Linked DNA regions of Xenopus tropicalis. The protein of the gene in region 1 interacts with the protein of each later gene in a pairwise test. Links are inferred from orthologs where the notes say so. Each region holds a gene or a part of one and is shown on either strand. Other genes may lie near its edges.

Region 1 (4,300 bases):
CCTGGGGGGGCAGTTATATAACAACTGGTTGGACTCCCCCTGTGCCCCCCTAATGGCCATGTCCCAGCCACTCCTGATTATTCCCTGACCATGTACTCTCATTGGCTCACCCAAGGTTAAAGGGGATACAAACCCTGCTGCCCAGCGCGGCTCAACCCAACGTTACTCAGTTGTTACTGGGCTACAAATCCCACAATAATGTAACATATAATGAAGCTTGGGGCATGCTGGGAGCTGTAGTCCAGCAACATCAGGGCTGTATTCTTAAAGCAATATTGCACAATAAAACTTTCCCCCAAATCCCCACAGCCAGCGACTGCTTTAACATGCGAAAAATCCTCCAATGAGAATCCCAGCTGATGTGAGTAAATCCGGCTCCCTGTTCTCTGTTCCTGCAATTGGAGTTGGGAGCAATAAGCACAGTTTCCCAGCACTGAACAAGTCTGTCCCTTTATCCCCATGTCTGATTCCTGTGCCATATAATGAGGGGAGAAAATGCCATCATTATCTCTATATGTAAGGTACCAGCAAGGGGCCTGACACAGTGCTGGGAATCAGCATTCTCACTGGGCAGTTCTTTTGCATTTATAATCAACTTATTTATCAGTACAATTCTCATTGGGGAATTTCCTTGCATCTGTAATGATGGTTTTTGGCAGCTTCTATAGCAAAACTAGGGGGCGCCGTGGGGCAGCATCATGGCTGGGTTTATATCACCATTAAATATACGGGGGGCAAAAATGCAGGATATTTGGCAGGTCCGACAGATGACTGGGCCACATGCTATCAGCAGGGCTTTCCCCACAATGGAGCCTGGGTTATTAGCCCCCCCGCCCACACACAGGCCCTGAGCCCTAGAATCCATGTAACCAAGGCTAGGTACATACATAGCAAAACCCCCAGTCTGCCCTGTTACCCTCTTACCTGCCCAGACCCCTGCCCATCTCACCAGCAAACCCTGTACCTTTTGCAGTCCTATGACAATGGCTATGGCCCCGTCCCTGCACTGTGATTGGGCCCCAGACCAGTCACCCCCCTCCCCTGCTGCTGAGTCCTTAATTGCACCCAGAAAGATACAAGTCACAGGGCCAATGGGCTCCCAGACTTCGAATAGAGGTTTTGGGAGCCCAATTATAGCACCCATGGGTGCCTGGTTATACAACTACAGCCTTGGATGGTATTAGAGCACCTAAATATCCAGGTCACTTCCAGTTGCCCCGGATTGGGCCAGCGGATAAGGAAGGTAATTACCCCAAAGGCTTCATTGCTCAGCCAAAGCGCCTTATATATTTATCCCACTCTCCCTAACGCTAATCCTCTTATCAGCCCTAATCTAATTATATGACCCCCACCCCCCCCCCGCCAGATTGCACATCCCACTGTCACTCAGCCAATGAATTGCCTCCATTGTGCTCTTGGGAACCAATGACCCATTGCTCTGTGCGGCCACAGTTTTATTGTTACAGCTCTGTAACTTTTCTTTCTATTCAGTCCCACTTCTATTCGTATCCCAGTCTCTCATTCCAACCACTGCCTGGTTGCTAAGATAATTTGGACCCTATCGACCATATAGCTGCTAAAATGCCAAGAGCCCCATTAAATGACATTATTGGCCGCACTATTGTGACGTCATTTCTGTATTCCAAGAGCTTCCCAGTGACACAAGTCCTTTAGGGGTTACGTGCCCAATGGGTTCCACTGGGAATGAGGTGCCAGTGCACAAAGGGTGCAAACTCTATACCAGAACAGGGCAGGGTTGTGCCAAGTTACGGGGCCCCCCTGCAGCCTATTACATATTTCTACATTTCATAGCATCCCCCCCCAGTTACAGCCTGTACACCTACCATCATCTTGCCTTACTATACACATTATGCCATAGTTAGAGCCCCTTCTCCTGGCACTGTAGCCCCTATGCCGAGTGCCATCTTGCCTACTATACACATTATGCCATAGTTAGAGCCCCTTCTCCTGGCACTGTAGCCCCTATGCCGAGTGCCATCTTGCCTTACTATACACATTATGCCATAGTTAGAGCCCCTTCTCCTGGCACTGTAGCCCCTATGCCGAGTGCCATCTTGCCTACTATACACATTATGCCATAGTTAGAGCCCCTTCTCCTGGCACTGTAGCCCCTATGCCGAGTGCCATCTTGCCTTACTATACACATTATGCCATAGTTAGAGCCCCTTCTCCTGGCACCACCTTACCTTATTCTGCACACTGTCCAGCACTGTAGCCCCTATGCCGAGCCCCATCTTGCCTTACTATACACACTATACTACAGTTACAGCCAATCCCTGAGGGTCCCTTTGCATACAGCTTGGGGGCCACACAAACTGCAGGGCACTAAAGGCAGCCCGGCCACAGAAAGAGGGGGCACTGCAAGCACCGGGCATTAAGGGGAATAACAGTGGGATTTGCTCATTAGAGGTAACACCCCGGGGGTCATGTTGGCACGAGGGGGCATCGCTGTGGGTGATTCCTTGTGCCCAGTCCGACACACATTGTGCCACAGACCTGTCCTTACTCACAGAAATACGTTCTCCATTGGCGCGGCCTTGTGGGCTTCCAGCTCCCCACAGCGGATTCCCAGCGGTGCCACCACGCAAGCAGGAACCGACTCCTCCAATACGGTTCTGATCCTTAGGTACGGGCTGTCAATCCACATGTAATCCATCTAGGCACCGGCATCACTGCAGCCCTGCCAGCCAGCGAGGTGTGCGACGGTCCCTTCCCTCTCAGCTCTCTCCCCCCCACTGATTCCTTTATTCTCTCCAATGGCAGCGACTACCCACGGGCTGGAATCTCAGCCGCTCTCTCGCTCTCTCGCTCTCTCTCAATCCAAGCAGCTGCATCAAAATTCTCCCATTTACTGTGTTATGCCCTGCGTGCAAGTCTGATTGGCTCGTGTCGTCATCGGCAGTACAGCGTGCCGCGGGCACAACACCAGCATATCAAATCTCTGCAGCCTCCCGCGGGTATGGGTGAGACCCTCCCCAGCCAGCGGGAATGCAGAGACAGAGATAGGGGGCCCAAATATTCCCCCCAGCAAAATGGCAACAGCAAGATACAATGGGGATTGTAAGATATGATGGAGACAGTGGGATAGGAAGAATGGTAAGATAGGGCAATGGTCAATAGGGCAAGAGGGCGACAGTAGGTCATGATGGAGACAGTAGGGCAAGATGGGGACAGTAGGACAAGATGGAGGCAGTAGGGCAAGATGGAGACAGTAGGGCAAGATGGAGACAGTAGGGCAAGATGGAGACAGTAGGGCAAGATGGAGACAGTAGGGCAAAATGAAGACAGTAGGGCAAGATGGGAGACAGTAGGGCAAGATGGAGACAGTAGGGCAAGATGGAGACAGTAGGGCAAGATGGAGACAGTAGGTCAGGATAGAAGCAGTGGGAAATGATGGAAACAGGACCAAAATAAAGAAAGTATGGCAAGATGCTTTAAAGGTGAATTAGCTTTGCTTGTACAACATATTTCCCAGGGCAGCCCAGTAAGCAGGGTTCCTATCTCTGCTGTTGGAATTAGAGTGTAGGCCTGGGGGAGAGGTGCATGTAGTCAGGACCAGAAACAGGCAAAATAAACAAAACAAAACACAATTCAAATAATAGAATACTTTGCCTTTAAATCATACAAATACAAAAACACATACAAGAGTATTATAAAAACAAAACCCCAAGTCTGGATGTGGGCCAAAAGCATCAATCTCTGGAGAAAATAGAGAAATAAATTCCGTTGAGGGGTTTGGGAATAGTCAGGGCGAGTGAACGTAAGGTCACAATCCATGGAGATGAATGTCTGGTTTATATTTTGGGAATAAAATCAAAGCCGCTAAATGTCATCCAAACGGGGAAACTATGGAGAGATATGCTGAAGTAAATTCAGCAAAAGAGCTCAGTGCCAGGCAGTGACTGCAAAAGCCAACAACAACTTCTGTTCCACATGCCATGGAGTTTTGCCCATAAATGCCATGTTGTGAGGCCTGGTCTAGTACACGGAAGGTATAAGCACCTTTGGGTGTCACCCCAGAAGGACCACCCAAAGGGAAACTATGGAGAGATATGAAAATAACACAGAAAAATACTCAGCAGAAGAGCTCAGTGCCAGGCAGTGGCTGCAAAAGCCAACAACAACTTCCGTTCCATATGCCATGGAGTTGTGCCCATAAATGCCATGTTGTGAGGCCTGGTCTAGTACGTGGTATAAACACCTTTGGGTGTCACCCCGCAAGGACCACCCAAAGGGAAACTATGGGGAGATATGAAAATAACTCAGAAGTAAACTAAGC
Region 2 (3,008 bases), on another chromosome or scaffold:
CTCCCATGTACCTACCCACCCCCATGTACCTACCTACTCCCCCATGTACCTACCTACCCCCCATGTACCTACCTACTCCGCATGTACCGACCTCACATGTACCTACCAACCCCCATGTACCTACCTACCCCATGTACCTACTTATCCCCATGTACCTACCTACCCCCATGTACCTAACTACCCCGTGTACCTACCTACCCCCATATACCTACCTACCCTCCCATGTACCTACCCACCCCATGTAGCTACCTACCCCTATGTGCCTACATACTCCCCATGTACCTACCTACCCTCCCATGTACCTGCATACCCTCCCATGTACCTACCCACCCCCCATGTACCTACCTACACCCCCTGTGCCTGCATACCCCCCATTTATGTACCTACCCCCATGTACCTACCTACCCCCATGTATCTACCCACCCCCATGTACCTACCCCTCATGTACCTACATACCCCCCATTTACCTACCCCTTATGTACCTACCTAACCCCCATGTACCTACATACCCCCATGTACCTACCTACATACCCGTAGGTACTTAGCACTATGACCAGGGTAATGTTTCGCTTTCCTCTCTTGCAGCAAATTCCGCCTGTCCTATTACCCGCACCTCCTGGATCCCTTCACTGGGCTCCTGCACGAGGCATTTGGGGGGCAATGCCAACACAAGGTGTATGGGGACTTCCTGCCATATACCCCTGGCCAGGAGAGGGCCCCCTGTTACTTCATCCATGTGGCTAAAAGAACCGCCTAATCCAGGGCAGATCCCTATGGGCCTATGGCTGTTTATATTGGAGGGGTCTCTGCTGATGTCGGGGTACAGGGGCCCTGTGTCTTTCCTATAAGGGAATTGGAATCCCCAGTGTGATTAGGGCCCACTGATGGTGGGGGCCCCGAGAATATGCGCTTTTGCGGGTGGAGGGATTCGGCAATGATTTTGTGCTTCAATCTGTGAAACTGAAATTTGGCAAAACCTCTGGCCCCTTCCTGCTCCAATCACTGATCCATTCATTCCCCCGCCCCCTTCCTGCTCCAATCACTGATCCATTCATTCCCCCGCCCCCTTCCTGCTCCAATCACTGATCCATTCATTCCCCCGCCCCCTTCCTGCTCCAATCACTGATCCATTCATTCCCCGCCCCCTTCCTGCTCCAATCACTGATCCATTCATTCCCCCGCCCCCTTCCTGCACCAATCACTGATCCATTCTTTCCCTGCCCCCTTCCTGCACCAATCACTGATCTATTCATTCCCCCGCCCCCTTCCTGCACCAATCACTGATCCATTCATTCCCTGCCCCCTTCCTGCACCAATCACTGATCTGTTTATTCCCCCGCCCCCTTCCTGCTCCAATCACTGATCCATTCATCCCCCGCCCCCTTCCTGCTCCAATCACTGATCTATTCATTCCACCCCCCCCAAACTGCCAGTCATCTTGCTTTGTGGCATTCATTGGCTGCCGTTAGTTCAGTGGGACCCCCAGTAATCATAATCGGGGGGTCGGGGAGTTGCCCCCAGTCTCCATACGACTATGTATAAGGATTTCTATAGACTGGGGGGGTATATGCCAATCTGTGTGACTGTATGTGGCACCGTGCCCCCCACTTTGGCCCCCAGGAAAAGTGCGGACCCCCACTGGCTGCTATTGGCTAAACAGTGGCACTTTATGGCCGTGACCTTGAATGGGTGTGGTCAAAGGTTGAGGGGCCAAAAAGTGGGTGTGGCCTAAATACGAAATAGTCTGACAATCTGTACTTTTCTAGTTGCCCCTAGATTGGTACCTTAGTGTAACATGGAATTAGTGGCCTTCCCCACGTGTGTCAGTACGGGGGTATCTGTGGCCTTACTGCCCCAGTCTGTATGTCTCTGCCCCAGTCTGTATGTCTCTGCCCTGGTCTGTGTGTCTCTGCCCCGGTCTGTGTGTCTCCGCCCCAGTCTGTGTGTCTCCGCCCCGGTCTGTGTGTCTCCGCCCCGGTCTGCGTGTCTCCGCCCCGGTCTGCATGTCTCTGCCCCGGTCTGTATGTCTCTGCCCCGGTCTGCGTGTCTCCGCCCCGGTCTGCATGTCTCTGCCCCGGTCTGTATGTCTCTGCCCCGGTCTGCATGTCTCTGCCCCGGTCTGCATGTCTCCGACCCGGTCTGTATGTCTCCGCCCCGGTCTGTATGTCTCTGCCCCGGTCTGTATGTCTCTGCCCCGGTCTGCATGTCTCCGCCCCGGTCTGCATGTCTCTGCCCCGGTCTGCATGTCTCCGCCCCGGTCTGCATGTCTCTGCCCCGGTCTGCATGTCTCTCTGTATAAGGCTACACACTGGGTACATGTGACACACGGGGACACGTATTGTACATATATGTTACACGCTAAACCAAAGCTGTACATTAAATTGCAGAATTTATACAATTAATTGGAAATAAATCATCACAACAATGATCTCTGTGTCTTTGTCTCTCATTGGTCACTTCCCGGCGTTTCCAATAACCGTTATTTCTGATCTTTCAAACCACTGCCTGGTTGTTAGGTTAAATATGACCCTAGCAACCTGTTAGCTGCTGAAATTCCAAAGCGCAGAGCCGCTGAACCAACTGCAATTTAAAGGGGAACAAGTCCTTGAAGCCCAGAGACTGTTTGGCTGCTGGATACAAACAGGTCAGGACTGAGATATATAATAAGTACACATACCTCCCAACATTTGAAAAATGAAAAGAGGGACAAAAAGATTTGGTGCGCGCAGCGCGGCAATTTTTTTTGACCATGCCCCCTTTTGTGGTCACGCCCCAATTACCACACCCCATTTTAAAAAAAATACCCCTTTTATATAGATCAAATGGCGGGAGCAGACGAAAATGTGCTATACCCTCATACTGAATGACCTAAGAAAAACAATATAGCAACTCCTACATTAAAATACAAATATAGAGAGAAGGCAGTCAGTTATAACTAAGTACCAGTTTTTCCCCCCCATACACAGTACCCCCATACACAGTAGCCCGCCCCATACACAGTAGCCCGC

What was found.
Region 2: the proteins of arrb1 (region 1) and gnmt interact in binary tests that used the Homo sapiens proteins (3 or more experiments, as listed by UniProt). The link is inferred for Xenopus tropicalis from reciprocal best matches to the Homo sapiens genes ARRB1 and GNMT.

What each region holds. Positions count from the first base shown.
Region 1 is NC_030678.2:175,782,898-175,787,197, reverse strand, and holds the start of arrb1 (beta-arrestin-1), read right to left. Parts: upstream 3,022-4,300; 5' UTR 2,678-3,021; coding exon 2,532-2,677; intron 1-2,531. UniProt on the Homo sapiens protein: Functions in regulating agonist-mediated G-protein coupled receptor (GPCR) signaling by mediating both receptor desensitization and resensitization processes.
Region 2 is NC_030681.2:258,193-261,200, forward strand, and holds the end of gnmt (glycine N-methyltransferase), read left to right. Parts: intron 1-585; coding exon 586-757; 3' UTR 758-2,428; downstream 2,429-3,008. UniProt on the Homo sapiens protein: Catalyzes the methylation of glycine by using S-adenosylmethionine (AdoMet) to form N-methylglycine (sarcosine) with the concomitant production of S-adenosylhomocysteine (AdoHcy), a reaction regulated by the binding of 5-methyltetrahydrofolate.